Linked DNA regions of Sus scrofa. The protein of the gene in region 2 interacts with the protein of the main gene of each other region in a biochemical or structural test. Links are inferred from orthologs where the notes say so. Each region holds a gene or a part of one and is shown on either strand. Other genes may lie near its edges.

Region 1 (6,155 bases), on a different chromosome or scaffold from region 2:
CTAGTAAAGTGTACGATTCATGGAGGACTATCATGTTTATCTTGGCATCCTTGGTAGCGGTGGTCCTCCCTCTTGGTTGCACATTGGAATCACCTGCGTAGCTTTAAAAAAAAATACAGCTACCTGGTTTTCCCCCCAGACGTTCTGATTTAATTGGTTTGGGGTGTGGTCTGAGCATCAGAATTTGTAAAACAGGAGTTCCTGTTGTGGCTCAGCGGATTAAGAAGCTAGCATAATGTCCCTGAGGATTCGGCTTCTATCCCTGGCCTCCCTCAGTGGGTTAAGGATCTGGTGTTGCCACAAGCTGCAGTGTAGGTTCTCAAATGCAGCTTGGACCCTGCCTTGCAGTGGCTGTGGCTTAAGGCCTCAGCTGTACCTCTGATTCGACCCCCAGCCTGGGAACTCCCAAATGCCACAGGTGCAGCCATAAAAAGAAGATGAAAATTTTTTAAAGGATTTGTAATGCCTCAGAGTGATTTTAACTTGTAGCCTGTGTTGCCTTATAGTGCCTTGCACATAACCGCCAATCAATAATTGTTGTAATCATGAATTAGCCCTAACTTCCAGCAGATTAGCTCATCCGAGAACTACCTTCTCTGTCTCCCTTATATATCCCAGCGGCTCTTACAATGGTCTGCTTATGTCTGTCTCCTCCACTTAGAGTGAAAGGAAGACTGAAACAAAAGCATTTAGAAAAGATAAGTTTACTTGCAAAGATGTGCAGACTTCAGTAGGACTGGATTACTGAATAAGGAACACAACAGATGTTAAAGGAAAAATGTAAAGATTACCATGTTTACATTTGCCTCTTCAGCTGGGGTAGTGTGCGCACATGGGGAGATATGTCACAAATGACATATTCCCAAATTTCTGTAATCAAAAGTCAGGGATAAAATGGTTTGCATTAGGGAATCAGTAACTGATGGAAAAGCTCAAGATATCATTCATTTTCGAAACCAGGTGTAAAGTGTGGTTCAGTTACTTTTTCTTAGTAGTAGTATTTTTCTTCCGGTGGTACTTGATGAACATACTCTTAAATTGGCAGCAGGGCAGTCTCGTTTTTGTTTCCACAACTGTGGGCTTCATGAAGATGGGTAACGTTCAGGTCTTATACATTATGGCATTCTTGTGCTGGCATATGTTAGGTGTTCAATAAATATTGGGGAAATAGCTATGATCATACCGCATGCAGCAGTTTTTGTTTTTTTGTTGTTGCTGGTTTTTTTTTTTTTTTTTTTTTGGTCTTTTTGCTATTTCTTGGGCCGCTCCCGCGGCATATGGAGGTTCCCAGGCTAGGGGTCGAATCAGAGCTGTAGCTGCCAGCCTAGCCAGAGCCACAGCAACGCGGGATCCGAGCCGCGTCTGCAACCTACACCACAGCCCACAGCAACGCCGGATCGTTAACCCACTGAGCAAGGCCAGGTATCGAACCTGCAACCTCATGGTTCCTAGTCGGATTCGTTAACCACTGCGCCACGACTAAAACTCCCGCATACAGCAGTTTTTAAGTGGGATTTTAAGTGGATAGAGAGCTGTTTCTCATTTGATATACTGATTATGCTACTCTGAACTGGGGCACTTCTTAAACTGCTTAGACTACAACCAATTCAGAAGGCGTTTTTATTTCCACGTAAGCAGTTGTTGAGGGTCAGGATCTGGGAATGTACAAGCCTCACTTGAGTAGCAAAATGGTCACTCCAGGGTGAATGAATACAAGAGTCTCGTGGGAATGGTCCCTCAGCTAGGCCGGTCATCCTGCCTGTCCAGTAACACTAACACCTGCCATTGACACCTCTTCGCTACCAGATCCCCAGGGTCCACGTGAGCATCCGCAGCCGCGCCCCCTAGTCCCCCGCAGCAGGATCCCACAGCAGACGGGTTACGCCCCAGAGCACAACACAGAGCGACTCAGAGGTCTAGAAAACAAAGTAAAACCAGTCGCATCAAGGAGAGACAGCGTTATTTCGGCAACCGGCTACTCGTCCACAGCCTCCACCCTGTCCCCTGGGCCAGGCGCCCAGACAGTGCCCGGCTCCAGGAGTCCCAGCTCCCTCCACGTGTCCTGTCTTCCCAGCAGCCACCTCTGCTGCCTCTGTAGGAAAATCTCCTGACAACTCGCGGTCTGCGGACTACGACTCCCGGCAGGCATCGCGCCGCTCCTCTCTCCACTCCCCCCTGCTCCACCGGACACGCAGGCGCTCTGGGCTCCGTCAACAAGTCGGGCTGGGAATGACTGGATGCAGTTCTTTATGGGATTTGTAGTTTCTCTGGAGCTAGCCGGGCCATCATTCAAAGGGATATGAACTACAAGTCTCGGCGGCCCCAGCGTGACGAGCTTGGTCACGTGGCAGGGGGCCGACCGGGCGTGCGTGCCGCCGTTGATCCGGTGCTGCAGTGAGGAGGTGGTTCTCGCCCGTGTTGTGTGTGTGTGTGTGTGTGTGTGAGTGTGTGTGTGAGTGAGAGAGCGAGTGAGTGAGTGTGTGTGTGTGTGTGGAGATTCGGCTTGTTGTTGTCGGTGACTTCCCCCTCCCCTCCACCCCTCCCCCTTCCCTGCCGCCGCTGCAGTGGCCGCTCCCTGGGCCGTAGGAAATGAGCGATAACGATGACATCGAGGTGGAGAGCGACGTGAGTCCTGGGGCTTCTTCCTTCCCTTGCGAGTTGTCAGGCGGGGACAGCGGCCGGGATTTTCAGCAGGGCGACTGCGGCAGGGGGCCGGGCAGCTGCCGCCTCTCCCCTTCCCCCACCCCCACCCCCCGGGCTGGGACCGCCTCCGTCGCGCTCCCCGCTCGCTCCCCTCCGGGCTCCTGGCCGGAGCGGCCTTCTGGGTCTGGAGGTGGGGAGGAGACACGCGGCCTCTGGGACCCCCACCTCCCCCCGTGGGGGAAGGTGCTGCCGTCTCCTACTCTCTCTCTGGCTGGCTCAGGATCCGGGACATAGGGACAGGGTGCGCTCGGGATCCCATTGTCCGGATTCTGGGGAAGGGGACGGCGTTCGGGACCTGCCCCTTAGGCCCACGGCCCCCTCCTCCCTTGACTGGCGGATCCTGGGGGGTGAGGGAGGGCAGAGAGGGTTTGGGAGTGCCCAGAAGTCCTGAGCTGGGTGCAAGGGGAGGAGACAGTGCTGTGGACCCCCTCTCGCCCGGTTCGGATCCCGGAAGGAGGGGTGGCGCTCGGACCCCCCCCCGCCCCCCTACCGGATCCAGCTGGGGAGGAGGGATGGGGGCGTGGGGTGGGAAGGGAGGGAGGGGGAGGTAAGGCTTACTCCCCACCCGCCGCTTCCTCTGCCGCCGGCATTTTCTTTCTTATTATTGAATGTGAAGTGTAAAAATAACTTCTATATTTTCTATTTTTTTTTTCTCTCTTATTCCAGGAAGAGCAACCGAGGTTTCAATCTGCGGTACGTCTCCTACTCTCCATTTCATTTTCATTTCCGTTCAGTTCTAGTCCTTTTTGGGGTTAGAGAGAAAAAGAGTTCTGTTGCTTTTAATATTGTAGTAAACTCTCCTGTTAACCGCTAAGGTGAGGTGGGGCCTTGTCCTGGGGTTGTAGGTGGTGGTGGGGGGCGGGTTTGTAAATCTCATAATTCTAGATTCTCAGGTGATAAGTTCCAGTGGCTGTAGGTGAGTGAGAGAAGCTGTATGCAGGGAAATGAATCTTTCTGTAGTGTTTAGATGAGAGTTCTAGCTGTCACTATTTAAATGGGGAATGAGAAATGCACCATGTTGAAGTAAATTGTACTCTTTCAGGAAGAAGTGGTCAGATTTATTTAAGAACAGTAGGTTCTAAACTATCTGAATAGTTGTGTGAAGTTGAAGCCACATGGAGAAATCACCTTTAACCAAAAGTCATGTGACTTCTGTAAACCTATGGAATCTAGCACAATTTGGTATTACTTTAATGCAGAAATTGGAACTGTAGAGGAGCCAAAGGTTGAATGTGACCGTGTCATATTCAGCAGCTTATTACGGTCTGACTGTATTTGAGTCGAAGGAGCAGTATAAAGAAGGTAGAATTGTTGAAGAAAAGTGGCATTGCAGAGTGAAGTTTGCTAGGAAGTGGTGGTTGAGACTGTAAAGTGTTATCAATGATTTCTCAGAGTTTTGATATTAATGTTTTCCATAAGTGGTTCTATGGATTAGGATAGACATAATCTCATGTCTTTGGAGTATGGGATAGTACTGTGGGTGTTCCATGAATAGATCAGAGGAGGAAAAAAATCAAAGGGGAAGAGAAATGAGTATATCATAGTGTCTAATATTTGACAGATGGGAACAGTAGGAAGTGTATAGAATGGGGGTCAAAAGTTTAGATGTCTCTAGGGAGCCCTGGCAGTGAGATAGTCAGGAATTGAGGGCACAGGTGAGGACTGGGGTACTAGAGAGCCCATGCCTCTCCTAAAAAGGTGGCCAGTCCAGTGGGATTGAGGACTCAGTATTGCCTTATCTTTCTATTTTAAAAGAAATTTTAGAAATCTGGATTATAATGTTCTTCTGATTTTCAAAATAACGTTTGGGACAACCAAGTTGTTCAGGAGCTTGTTAGAATTGCCACATTCTGCTTGGAGACCTCTGATCTAAGAATTTAATTCTCACAGAATAAAAGCAAGCCCTCTAACTTATACCTGCTATTCTTTAGAGCAGAGATTCTGAGGTTGTCTAAGCAGTTATCCATTTAGAAAAAATTATCGAGAGCCGTTATTTTCATAAAATCAAAGAATGCAGTTGTCCCAGGGGTCTTAAAATTATCCCTGGTAATAGTCACTAAAAAAGAATTTGTTTTATTTTTTCCTTGAAGGATTTGAAGGTAATATTTTGAATGTATGAAGTATTGTCAAATACTTCATATTTATACATATTTTGGAAAATTAAGGTCTTTTTCAGTTATTGCCTTCCTTATTAATGTGACTATGGAATTTCATGTTTGGAACCCAGTCTATTTGAAACATTTTTTTTTCCCTGAAAGTCTCCAGTTATAAAATCTGCCCTAGGGCTGGATGAGGATTGGAGGATAGGAATTATTTAGGCTTCCTTTGCAGAATCATTATTTAAATTGGAATTATATTAGCTTTCCAGTGAGACAAAAATTTTCTTTATGAAATTTTGGCTTACAGTTCTCAAGAGCTTTCTGCTTTTCAGAATATCCATCCATGTGGCTAATGATATAAATTGTTTTAGTAAATTATTAAAATGTTTCCACTTTCCTAGAACACTAATCTCATTGTTTTGTCTAGATATTTTCAGTTTTGATATTAAGGTACCTAGGATTTTTCCTTTTGATTTTGGAGGGTGGGCAAAGGGAGTGGGTTTTACCCTTTGTTTTTAATTTGACACATCTTGCTAAGACGTTTTAAATATCTGTTAAGATGATCACAACGACATGGAGAGAAGAAGCAGTAGACAGATTTTATAGCATATCAAGCAATTATGAACACGTAGGATAAAAAGGAGTTCTTTTTTTTTCTGTGTGAATATATGTTTATTTCCTGACATTTAGTATAAATAAATATATTCTTTAAAATTTGGGTGGCGGGGAGCTATTCTTAAGCATTGTGTTAGTTCGGAAAAGGATGAGGACTGTGAACAACCAAATATTCAGGACTACAGAAGAACTTTTTTAAAAGTTATTTGGCAAAGGTCCTTTGAGTCCTAATATAGAAGGAGACGCTCATTCATGTTTTGTAATATTACTACAACAGCTCCGGCCTTACTATATAAGACATGTAGGATACTCAGCAAGAAGAGAGTTAGGAAGCGAGGCTAACTGTAACAGAAAGTGAAACTGATTTGACGAGTATTTTTTCTTTTGCCTCAGTGCAAACAGAAAACAGCTTCTCTAGTGCCCAATAAGCTTCGTTAAAGGAAGTAACCCCAGACGATAATTTTTATTATTAAACTCAATACATCTCAGAGTCCCACTGATGTTATATTATTTTTGTTATTTTTTGGAGGAGGAAGATTGCATTTCAAAGACAATTTTCTGGTGCAGGGATATTTATGCAAAGTGATCTTTGTTTTATTTCTGGGTTTTTTTGGGTTTTGTTGTCATTTGGGGTTTTTTTTTTTTTTTTTTTTTGGAAAGAATGAAAGTATACAAGAAATGTAGGGTTAGTGTGGTAGTTGGAAACCCACGACCTTTTTCAGCTTCTCGTCCATGACA
Region 2 (5,596 bases):
ATGTGTGTGGCCACAAAAGCCTTTCCTTTTGCATGTGTTAGCTTTATAAAATTCTTGTGAATTTTTAAATGTTTAATCTAACACTGTCACTATAGCAGCTTAGGTAACTGCTATGGCACGTGTTTGACCGCTGGCCTGGGAACTTTCATAAGCTGTGGGCATAGCCAAATAATAATAATAATAGTAATAGTACCTTTAGCATAAACAAGACCTGTATTTCCATAGAAAATGGGTTAGACTTTCCATCAAATCTTTTAATGACAAAAGATGTCCATTTTCTTTAAGGAAGAGTTGAGTGAACTGAATCTTACCAGATAGCCTCTATTTTACCCAGTGAGATGCTCTGAGTTCCCTATTGATTTTGAAAGGAATATGATAGGGTTATAATTATCTGTGTTTGCTCCAGCATTATCCTTCCTCAAGGAAGCAAGGATGGAAAGAGTAACTGTTGCCATATACAGAGCTCTTCATGTCAGACCCCAGCCAGGCACTTCCACACCTGCCTCAGTTAATACTCACAACAGCCCTCACAGGGAGGCCTGTCATCCTCCCTCGACTGCCAAGGAAACCGATGCCACATGGAGTGAAGTAGCTTCTCAAGGCCACACAAAGAAGCAGCAGCAAGGCCAGCATCCCAAACCTTTACCTTTAATCACTGCACTAATACTTGGTTGTATAGTGACTGACAGGTTCAGAATAGAAAAATAATTTAAAATACTAAAAAAAGGAGTTCCTGTCGTGGCGCAGCGGAAACGAATCTGACTAGGAACCATGAGGTTGCGGGTTCCATCCCTGGCCTCCCTACATGGGTTAAGGATCTGGCATTGCCGTGAGCGCAGACGCGGCTCGGATCTGGCATTGCTGTGGCTGTGGTATAGGCCGGCAGCTACAGCTCTGATTAGACCCCTAGCCAGGGAACCTCCATATGCCACAGGTTGGGCCCTAAAAAATCAAAGAGACAAACAACAACAACAAAAACAAAACTTAAAAAAAAAAAAAAAACTTACTGAAGAGAAGCTCTAGTTTGTATCTAGTTTAGTTATCACTAGTTACAGGCCATGCTTGATTCAAAGCTTCACTGGCTGTAGCTCAGATCAAAGACTGGTGTCTCTCTGCTCCCGGAGACCGAAGGTATGTATCAACCCATTCAGGATGATGAGAGCGAGATTTCTGAAGAGTCAGCAGGTGAGTTTTACAAAGCAGCTGGATCAACACAGAAAGAGGCGCAGAAAGAGGCAGCAGTTGGGATGGGAGCGAGCTGGGGTTCAGGAGCTGGGAGGCAGCTTGGACAACAGGAGGAGGCCTCTCTGGAAATGTGACAGAGGAGATTCAAGCAGGGGTCAGAGGGAGGTAGTGAGTGGCTTCCTTTTGAGATGTGGCAAACCCCTGCTAGTTCCTGAAAGAGGGATTAGACCTGGATCACAATAGGACACTAGGCCCCTTCTAGAAGGCCAGCGCCCTGGGCAGGGCAATGGTCAGGACTGAGGACAGAGAGCTGACACAGAGAGCTGGTTCTCCTGGTTTTGGATCTGGTGTTCCATGGGTGCTCACGGCTGGCTGAAGGAGTCCAGGTCCCAGAGTGGTGTGTCTCAAGGTGGAGGACCCTCAGTGGGAGCTGTCACAGAGGAGCCCGTCTGCTTTTTTGTCTGGTTCAGGAATTGAATTTCACTACTATACGACAGAACGGAGCCTGCTTCCCATACCTCGCCCCTCCCCTGAGGTTGGCCCAGGCACCCACGGGGATGTGTCTGCAGGTGGTTGGCAGGTGGGCAGGGCAGCCATCAGGCTGGAGCAGGCCAAGGCAGGCACTGCCAGTTAAACAAGCTGGCTTTGGATCTCTGCAACAATCCAGAAAGTGCTCTGGTCCTATTTTCATAAAACTTGGCTAGGAAACACCAAATGAACATGTATTATCCTAAGCCTGAATTTGTCAAATAGCTAATTTCGAGTTTCATAACTCGGAGTGTTCTTTAGAAACCCACATTTGGGTAGTGAAAATTGTACTTTCTGGGCTAGACTCCCTGTGTAACTAGAAATGACAGTGCATGGAAAGATGACTCTATTATTTTTTATCAGTAGACAAACTTCCCTTAAAACTTTACATTCTCATATCTGTAGATAAACCCACATCATAAAAGGAATAATATGACGCTGTTCTGAATCATGTAGTCTTTGCAAATTATGAGCAGGCTGAAAAATGTCTAAATATAATTTTAATTTTTGAACTGTTTTAAAAATTTGACAATCTATGCTTTGTGGTGAAAATAAGTTGGATAACTGTGCAAGTGACTAATCATACTTTCTCACGGTGTTTCTAGTAACACGATCTGTTTTCATGGCTCTTTTTGAAGAATATTATCCTAGGTGAACGTGTATTTTATACACAGGTTCTGTTGTTTGTTTTTTTCTCATGCAGTAGTTGGAGGAACAAACGCCTCTAATGTGAGCTTTTGCTTGTGGCCATTCCACGTGGGCAGGTTTTCAGAGCAAGCGAGAGACTTACAGAATAGTAAGGTATTTGTACCACGACATTGTCCCAGCTCAGGAAGGAACGTTGGGCTCCTCGAGCTCGTCATGGCTTAGAGGGGCCTTGGAGAGTCTAGGACAACCTCAAGAGCCAGAACAGGAAGGAGGCCCAGAAGCAGAAGCGGCAGGGCACTCAGAACCACTTGTCAGATCTGCCTTGGGGGGAACATCCCGAAGTCTTGATATGAAGGGTGTGAAGTGACTGCCTTGGTCAGTATCAGGCACGGACCTGTATTAGAGCTTTCTCAAGTAGTTTTCTTTCGATCCCAAATTTTGCTAATATGGTAAAATTTTTTAAGAGGGAAAAAGGGCCAATGAAGCTTTTCGATTGCCTCCCAGTTCAGCTAGAGGGCAGCTTCCCAGGCTCCCAGGAGCTCTGCTCCAGGTTGCTGTGAGGGACAGTGGACATGTGTCTAAAAGCCCAGGACCCTGAGCACTGCTGCTCAGAGAAGCTGGAAGTCGAGTGAAAGACAGACAGCATTCATGCAGCCAATGTGTAGTGAGATACAGGAGAGGACGGTACCCAGGCAACCCGGCAGTGATTAAGTTGCAGCTCCAGCTTTCTGAGGAGCTGGCAATGAACAGTTAAATAATAAATACCAAAAAAAATCAGGTAAAACAGTGAATTTCCCAATGAATGGCATAAACAAATACATACTCAGAAAACGAAGGATTCGCTAGGGACTGGAATGGCTTTAAGGAGGTGATGCGCTGAAGCAAAAACTCTGAATCTTGGCTGTTTCTCACATTCATGGAATCTGCTGGGATCTAGGATAAAGCCTGAACCAAAGTTTCAGTGAAGTGTTAATTTCCAAAATTTTAGGGACTCTCATGCTTCTGGTCAGTCTGTGCTAAATGCTGTCTCCTTGGTGGGTCTCTGTGGCTTCTGCCTCACGTGGCCTTTCTCTCACCCTGTCCCATTGCGCTATTCTGCCACCTTCCAACCCTACGTGTGTGGTTCTCTCTAGCCGTCAGCAAGCTTGTTAGTAGAGCAATACCACTGGATGGGCTTCTTCCTTATTTTTAAAAAATACATTTCACTTTTTGAATGGTTGAAAAACTGAGAACTATAACAAATTATTTTTTAAAAATCCCCCCCTTTCCCTGTCCCTGTCCAGTTATCCTGACTCCTCTCTGCCCAACCACTATTACTCATTCCTTATGTATCATTCCAGACTTTATGTCGTACAAGAAAACATGAATATAGACAATTTTTTCATCCATTTTTACCCAAAGATAGCATGTTATATGCAATTTGATATCTTGCTTTTCTTCACCTAACAGTACATCTGAGTGTTCTTCTGAATAGTACATAGAGCACATTTTCATTCTTTTTTCATGGTTGCATAGTAGTCCAGTGTATGGATGTACCGTGGTTTATTTGCTTAATTCCCTATTGATGATCTGGGTTGTTTCAATCTTTACAAATAAAGTTACAATGATTTATGTAATGAATTATTGCAATTAATTTATTTTAAAGTTGTAATGAATAACCATACACATGGGTAAATATTAGATACAATGAAATATAGTTGTAGAGATTTTTTGGCCCTGAAAGGGGAAAGAGCAATATGAGTTCTAAGGATTCTCTTCAGTGATAATGTCATTACTTTCTGAATTTGGATGTTCTGTAGGTCTCATCATAACCTAGATACCTGGAGATAACCTGATACATGTGCTTAATAATAGTATTTATCTCTACTTAACTCTAGAAAACCCTGGGTTTTGCTTTTGATTTTTATCAGAATTGTCTAATTTCAAAAGATGCTCATTTGGCCAGAGGTCACTGGTGGCATTTGCATCACTGGGCCCAGGCCGCTTCATACTCTCTAGAGCTTGTTCTCCTGGGTACTTCTGGCCAGCTGTGAAAGTCTCAGATCCTACTGTGATCTTGTTTTTGTAGACGGGCCCACCTTCGCTTGTGCCTGGAAAAATTGAAGGGGCTGGTGCCACTTGGTCCAGAATCAAATCGACACACCACGTTGAGTTTATTAACAAAAGCCAAATTGCACATAAAGGTAAGAGCATCCTGGGATGGTGTCCTTCTGTCTTTACCTACCTGGTGAGGGCTTGTTTGTTGTTATGAGGGACGGATATGATTCGCCAGGACAGTTCTCTCCTCTCAATTCCTCCAGCCTGCCTCTTGGATGAACACAGACTCAACACGTCCAGAACCCAACTGAGTAGTTCTCACCCGGTGTGTGTTTCAGAAATGAAACTGTCCCTCCATCTGATGCATGAGCCAGAAATGCAGGGTCATCCTCGATCTTGATGATCATTGTGCTCCTTAGCCACGTGTGTCCACAACTCACCCATGTCACAGCTGCTCTATTTCCACAAACCCCGTCAGCTACTGCAGTAAACTCCTCAGAGGCCTCCTCCAAGCTAATCTCCATACTTCCCAAGAACAGTCTTGCCAGAGCTAAAATCTACATGTCACCGTGTTTTAAAATTCTTCCACAGCTCAGGACACATTGTATCACCAGGCCTGCCCGACCCAGCCTCCTTTGCCCTTGGGGCAGCAGCTTGTGCCAGACACTCCCCAGCCCTTCTTTCCACCCGTTGCCAGGCTCTCCCACCACAGGGCGTTTGTACATGCTGTGCCCTCTGCTTAGTATGCTCTCCCCTCCCTTCTTCACCTAGTGAGCTTCTTGTCATCCTTCAGACCTCGGCACGGGTATCCCCAGTGCAGGGAAACCTTCCCTGACTCAGTCACCTCCTTCCCGAGACAGATGGTCCTTATTATTGGATCTCTCTCTTAGCACATGTCACAAGTGACATCTGACCATGGTTTATGTGACTGTAGTTGTTTCCATCTGCTCTGTTAGAATATAGACCCCACAAGGAAGGAGACCAGATCTTTGTGTTCCCGTTGTGTCTCCACACCTCCCAGACGGTCTGAGACAGAGTCAGCACTCAGTATGTGGCTTAAACAGCAAATGGCAACTCCTGAGAGCCACAGCCAGCATCACTGTTGAGCATGTTTTTATAGTCATAGAGTCCGTGACTGGACAAATGTCACTTGAATCAGGGTTAGTAGCCGGCATACATGGCAGTTCTGGGGGGAAAA
Region 3 (6,122 bases), on a different chromosome or scaffold from region 2:
AGGCCCTGCCCCCAATCATCGGATTGGGTAGCTTGGCGCCGGTAGGATCCTTTATTGGCCAGGATGCCCGTCTAGGAAGAAGCTGACTCCGCCCTGCGCGAGGAGGCTGAACCTTAGCAGTCCTTTTGTGGAATGTTTACACTAGAGACTGAAGAGCAGAGAGTTCCAGGGCCCGAAACAGGAGGTGGTGCGGAGCTCAGCAGCGGGAATCCGATGCCCTGGGACTTGAAAGGGAGGGACGGCAGCATCGCCACCGTGGAGGACCCGCTTACAAAAAAAGAAAAAAAAGAGAGAACCTCATATTTCCTATCCAGCTTTCTCATTACAGTTTACATTTCCGCACGCTGCCTCCTTGCAAACACAAATATCCCAAGCAGCCGACAGCTACTTCCAGTAAGTAAAATACAAAATTATAGGTTAGACACCAATGCCAAGGAATAGCCCCAGGGGTTGCTCAGCCCGCAGCTAGGGGTGACTGCATAGTTCTAAAGCCGACACTCCCTAAACCTGAATATGCAGTCCTAAAAGGGCGGAGATAACCAAAATAAGGGCAGGGCCCTAAGAACCAACGCCCTGGCAAGCCTCCGGAAGGCGGAGCTTGAAGTGTAAGACACTCGCGATCTCCAAAGCAGATCTGGAGGCATCCTCTAACTGGAGGAACTGAGAAAGGAGACTAAACAGACCATGGCATAAATGAAACTTCGCTCCACACTTCAGAGAAAAAATAAAAAATTCCAAAGTTGGGGACAAAAGTAATAACAGCTATATTTCCTCCTCCTTGGCGAGCGAGTGTTAATGACAGTCCCTAGTCCCTCTCTGTGTAGGTAATACAGCCTTGACACAGAGAGACAAAGTGCCTGAGATATCTCGGTTGCTTTTATTTATTCAGTAAATAGGACGAACTGACACTGGCCTTGCTTGGAGGGCGCTCTTGGAGCGCTAGGAGAGGAGGGGGCGGGACTAGTTTTCCCGCTCTCTTCCGCAAAAGGGCTACTCCCCCTAGAGAGCCCAGTGGGTAAGCAAGGGCCAGGCCCCAGGTAATTCACTCCTAAGTCCTAGCTTGTCTTCCCTCGGCAATCAAGCGGAGACGTCAAGAAATGAGTGCGGGCAACAGGTGGGCCTGACTCCAAGCCGCAAGGACAAGCAGCGAACTGTGAACTCCATGAATAGCCGACAGTTGGGGGCAGTCTCGCCGAGAGCCAAGCCTTGCTCCAGGAAGGAACTCAAAAAATAAGTCACACCGACGAAACAGAGGAGACCCCCATGCCAAACCTCTAGAGATTACGAGAAAGCAGCATTTATGCAGAACTGGCCGTGGGCTAATTTAACTCTGCGCCGTCCCCTGCTCCCTAGACTGGGTGGCACACGGTGCTCCCACATGGACATCAAAAACCACTTGGAACCCAAGCCGAATCGGGCCGCCCTCGACTCCTCTGTCAAGAGGGGGTGAGCTGCGCGGGGTCTTGCCTAAGGTGTCCAGGCCAATCCTAGGTTGCTCAGAGTTTTAATAAAGCCAAATAAGGTCAGCAGCTGCTTTGCGCTGAGAAGAAAACACTGCCAGCGTCCGCAGCATTCTGAAGCTTAAGCTTAGGACGATCTCCTAGAAGTCGAGAGTCGCGGGAATAACCAGGCCACAGTGTCAGAAATTTAATACTTGGCCGAGAAGGGCAGACCCCCTCCCTCCTCCCAAATCCTGCACAATCCCGGAAGCTAAGCCCCCCAAATTCACTCTACGCCGTAAAACACTAACTTCATCGTAAAGTCTACCAGATCTCGAGGCTTGGAGGAATCATTGTGTGCCTTCTTGGCTCTCCCCGCCCCCCTTGCCTAGGGCTTCAAGCCCGGGACTTCCGGGCGGGAGGACAGTTCGAAGGAGCAAGGCGGGCCTCACACATGTGCTGAGCGCGCACACACGCTAGGGAGGGGGCGGGGAACAGGGTGGACTTCCCCCTCCTAGCTCGATCCGCCGGAGGAGGAGGGGCTATATATGCCACCAATCAGGAGTAGGGGCGGGACCTTGCGCCTCACGTAAGCCGCAGGAATCCTCCCTCCGCCCTTCATGGAAAAAAATCCTAGCAACTTAAACTCCAGCCCGGCCTCCGATAGGCGGAGCTCGGGAGAATGTCATCCAATCAACAACCGAGAAGGAAAAAAGGGAGTCTCTCCCAGCCAGTGGAAGACAAGAGAAGGCGGGCCCTCTTGAGGAGCCCGAGATGGGTGGAAGAGAGAGAGAGAAAGGCCCCGCCCCTCAGCTCCGCTCCCAGCCGGTTGCACAAGCCGTCGCGGGAGTAGATAGTAAACAGGGTAGGCCAAGGAGTGGAGGCAGGGGCAGCCTAGCGTTCCGTGGGCCCGGGCCCCTGCGCCCCCTCTCGCGGCGTCGCCCCGCCCGACTTCGGCGTTTCGCGCCGGCGCCCCGCCTCCCAACCCGCGGCCGCCATCCCGGCTGACAGGCGCGCCCCCCGCGCCCCTCCCCGCACGCTGATGCATTTCCTTTTCCCGATTCTGAGCGTGGAGACTGTTTTCCCAGTTTCCGACCTTCACTGCCCCTTTCAGGCCACCCCCTCGTGGGCGCGCTCACACGCCTGCGTCCCCGCCTCCACCCCATCCGCAAGCGAGGAGCACGACCGGGGGATGGGAAGGGAGCTGCCGCCGCCTTGGGGTGGGCGGGGAAGGAGGCAGCTCCATGTTTGCAAGGGGATCAGCTGGGGCCGTGAGTCGAAGCCGCCGAGTTCCTGGAGGTTTTCCACACCCCCGGGCCGTGTTCCGGCGCCGAATGCTGGCTCTACTGCCACGGCCCGGGAGTTCGGAGAACCCAGACCGGCGCATGGGGCTAGTGCCGAGGTGCGGGGGCTCTTTCCGGTGGCTTCCCCCGGCTGCCCCTCCCGCAAGTCCGGCGTTGCCCCCGCCCCCAGAGTCCATAACAACCGCGGGCCCTAGGCACCCGCGCCTCTCCTGAGCGCGCCCACCGCCCCCTCGGACAAGTTTGCAGACAGAAACAAAACCCTCGGGCGGCTGCCGCCTTCGCCCAGCGTCGTTAGCGGGGAAAGCCACGGGCCCCGGCTCCCTTGCTAACTCCAGCTCTCGACCAACTCCGGGCGCCGCGGACTCAGTGGGCCCGGCCAGCCGGGCTCAGGCCGCCGCCCCCTGCCGAGCCCGCGCGCCGCAGCCCAGGCCTGGTTCCAGTCGGTGTACGGAATCTCCCCTTTTTTCTTCTTTACAATAATTTTTTAAGGCATTCCAGGAGCGAGGAGGATCTCCTCCTGCTGGCACCTTACCCAGTTCGCCGCCGAAACCTACCGAAACCGGCCGCTCGGTGAAATAAACTAGGCAGCACGGCCGGCACACTGGCGACCCCAGGCCGGGCCGACCCCCTCCCCACGGATCCGGCCGGGCTTGGAAACACACTGGCGAGCGGGCGGCGCCAAGAGCTCTCCTTCCTGGCCTGCCCCTCGCCTCCCTCGGCCGCCGGACTCCAAGCTCCCCTAGCTCCGTCCCAGGACCCGTTGCGCCGGTACCAGGGCGCACTGGCCGAAGCGACCGGCTGGTGAACTAGCCCCCCAAAACGCCCAAGATTGGGGAGACCAAATTAAAAGCAGCTGTTTAACATACCTTCCGAGCCAGGCGAGGAGTCCTGAATGGGGGGGAACGCCCCCCACGGGCCATTGGCTCCCCGCTGCTCTCGTCAGTCATCCTGGGCCCGCCTCCCCGCCTTGCTCCACCTCTTCCCCTTCATTGAACGCCCCCTCCCTCCAAAAAAAAATCCAAATAAATAGATTAAAGTATCCGTGAGTGTGAGCCGCATCTGTGACAGAGGACCCTATATCGAAGGTACCGCCGCTTCGAATTTCTTGAGGCCTTTGGACTGGAAGGAGACCTACTGTGACTCGGAGATCCTCTGGGTGGACACGGAGGAGGAGCTAGCCGGGCTACCCAGCCCCTACTTCCTTCACACACACACCCCATTTGGAACTGAGCAGAGGGAGGCGGGTAGGGATACCCTAGCGACTGGCTGCAATGTCCCGACTCCCCTGGCTGTGTAACCTAACCGTGGACGGCCCATTTTCTGTTAGGCGACTGCCTAAAAATGAACGGTGTAATTGGAAAGTCGTATGTTCCGGGCAACAGGCACTTGCCTGAGCACTTTCTGGGGTGAGGCAGACAGAGTCATACCGCACCTGCTGCTTGGGTGCGATTACAGAGACTGAATGAGATGCTCACTCTGCACTATCCAAGGACTCCAGATCTATCTACCTGAGGAGATGCTACAGAAAGAACTAAGGCAATGCAGAAATGTATATATAAATAGACATCCACAGAATCTCGGAGCAAGGAGCTTCTTTCTGAGGAAAAGTGGTAAAGTCTTCCTGGAGGAGGTGGCACGCAAGTTGGGTCTTAAAGATTTCATCAGGCGGAAGTGGAGGGGCAAGTCATTTTCAGCAAAGGACACATAGAGGTGAATGCAAAATATTAAGAAACACTAAAAGTGTGGCTGTAGTCATGAAAATCAGGTTTGGAAAGATGGAGTCAGAGAACAGAACACTATACTACCTTGTTAAAATTCTCAGGCTTGCACAGCAGAATGTGCAAGCAACATGACTGGTCACAAAATCACGGGCCCAAAACTATGGTTTAAGATGCTCAACATCCCAGCAGCTGGATGGATTCTGAGGGTAGGTTGAATGAAGCGTGCCTGCAGGCAGGAAAGTGAAGCAGAAAGGCTGTTGTAATAATGGGTTTGGAGATTACAGAGTTACATATTCTGGTGGGAGGGGTGGGTGGAGAGAGCCAAGAGGTTTCATCTCTCTCCAAGCCCCCAATCCAGAAACCCTTCCCTATCAGCAGTCCTCACATCAAAACTCTGCCTCACATGCCTCTGTGAATCATTTGTAGTGTTTTTGTCATAACTTTACACCAAAAGAGTTTTGGCAGGGGTAGCAGGGACAGAGGCTACCCCACATATCACCAAGCCTGGGGCCAGGGTACACAGTGGGTGAGGAAGAAAGACTTATTGATTGATGGATCCAGGTAATTCATGTGAATGATGTAGAATGTGCAGAAAGTGAAGGGCCTTAAAGTCCTGTGAGCAGAATGGGAGTCTGCTGCCAGTTAGGCTATCCCAACAATTCAGGTGAGATGTAACGAGGACTTGACCAGGGCTGTGGCTATGGGTAAGCAAGAATACAAATGGAGAACTGCAGTGGCTTGGGTGCTGTGGAGACACTGGTTCAATCCCCTGTAAGTACAGTGGGTTAAAGGATCCAGCATTGCTGCGGCCGCAGTATAGGAGTCAGTCCCTGGCCCAGGAACTTCCACATGCATGGCTGTAGCCGAAAAGAAATTTTTTTAGTAAAAATAAAACCAGAGAGATGTGGTTGAGAAAGACTGAAGACTACTGGGTGACCGATTCAGTGTGGGTAATGGAGGGAAAGGAAGAGTCAGTGGCAGTGACCTGGTGCGTGAAAAGGTAGAAGACCTTGAGGCTAATGGTTCAGTAATCTGGGTTCTAGATTGATCACCACTAATGACTTGGTAGAATACCTTTAGACAAGTCCCTTCCTCCCTGTGAAATAGAGCCTCAGGTGCCTGTAGAAAGACAGGCTCTAAGGACACTTACTTCACTCAGAGTCCATAGGATGGGGGTCTAATGGGGAGGGAGGCTTGCCACTAAGGAGAAAGGGCAGGTGGGTAGAAATACTGATTTGGGGAGGGAAGTGAGTCATCTCAGAGGACTAGAATTTGGGTGGTAGCTTGGTTGATGGAATCACTAAGGGAGAGTGTAGAGGGAGAAAGTCCAGGAGGCGAAAATTATTCAGTGGAAGGCCCAACACCTGGCAGGGCCATGGAGGTTGAGGTTCATTATCAGATTGGGGCTCTGTAGAGTAGAGGCCAAGTCTTTTGTTTGTTTGGGGGAGGGGGGGTGCTTTTTTTCTGGCCGCCTGCGGCATATGGAATTCCTGGGCCAGAAATCAGATCGAAGCCTCAGTTATGACCTACACTGCAGCTGTGGCAAGGCCAGATTCTTTAACCCACTGTGCCAGGCTGGAGGGCGAATCTGCATCCTGGCGCTGCAGAGGTGCCGTCAATCCTGTTGTGCCACAGCAGAAACTCCAAAGACCAAGTTT

What was found.
Region 1: the proteins of MXD1 (region 2) and MAX form a complex in vitro, tested with the Homo sapiens proteins (4 studies listed by BioGRID, with this or other methods). The link is inferred for Sus scrofa from reciprocal best matches to the Homo sapiens genes MXD1 and MAX.
Region 3: the proteins of MXD1 (region 2) and SIN3A form a complex in vitro, tested with the Homo sapiens proteins (4 studies listed by BioGRID, with this or other methods). The link is inferred for Sus scrofa from reciprocal best matches to the Homo sapiens genes MXD1 and SIN3A.

The regions. Positions count from the first base shown.
Region 1 is NC_010449.5:89,164,388-89,170,542, reverse strand, and holds the start of MAX (protein max), read left to right. Parts: upstream 1-2,277; 5' UTR 2,278-2,589; coding exon 2,590-2,625; intron 2,626-2,795; exon of another isoform or gene 2,796-2,944; intron 2,945-3,369; coding exon 3,370-3,396; intron 3,397-6,155. UniProt on the Homo sapiens protein: Transcription regulator. Forms a sequence-specific DNA-binding protein complex with MYC or MAD which recognizes the core sequence 5'-CAC[GA]TG-3'. The MYC:MAX complex is a transcriptional activator, whereas the MAD:MAX complex is a repressor.
Region 2 is NC_010445.4:72,524,109-72,529,704, reverse strand, and holds part of MXD1 (max dimerization protein 1), read left to right. Parts: intron 1-4,429; coding exon 4,430-4,544; exon of another isoform or gene 4,545-5,584; intron 5,585-5,596. UniProt on the Homo sapiens protein: Component of a transcriptional repressor complex together with MAX. In complex with MAX binds to the core DNA sequence 5'-CAC[GA]TG-3'. Antagonizes MYC transcriptional activity by competing with MYC for MAX binding.
Region 3 is NC_010449.5:58,169,577-58,175,698, reverse strand, and holds the start of SIN3A (paired amphipathic helix protein Sin3a), read right to left. Parts: upstream 3,879-6,122; 5' UTR 3,610-3,878; intron 3,322-3,609; exon of another isoform or gene 3,298-3,321; intron 1-3,297. UniProt on the Homo sapiens protein: Acts as a transcriptional repressor. Corepressor for REST. Interacts with MXI1 to repress MYC responsive genes and antagonize MYC oncogenic activities. Also interacts with MXD1-MAX heterodimers to repress transcription by tethering SIN3A to DNA.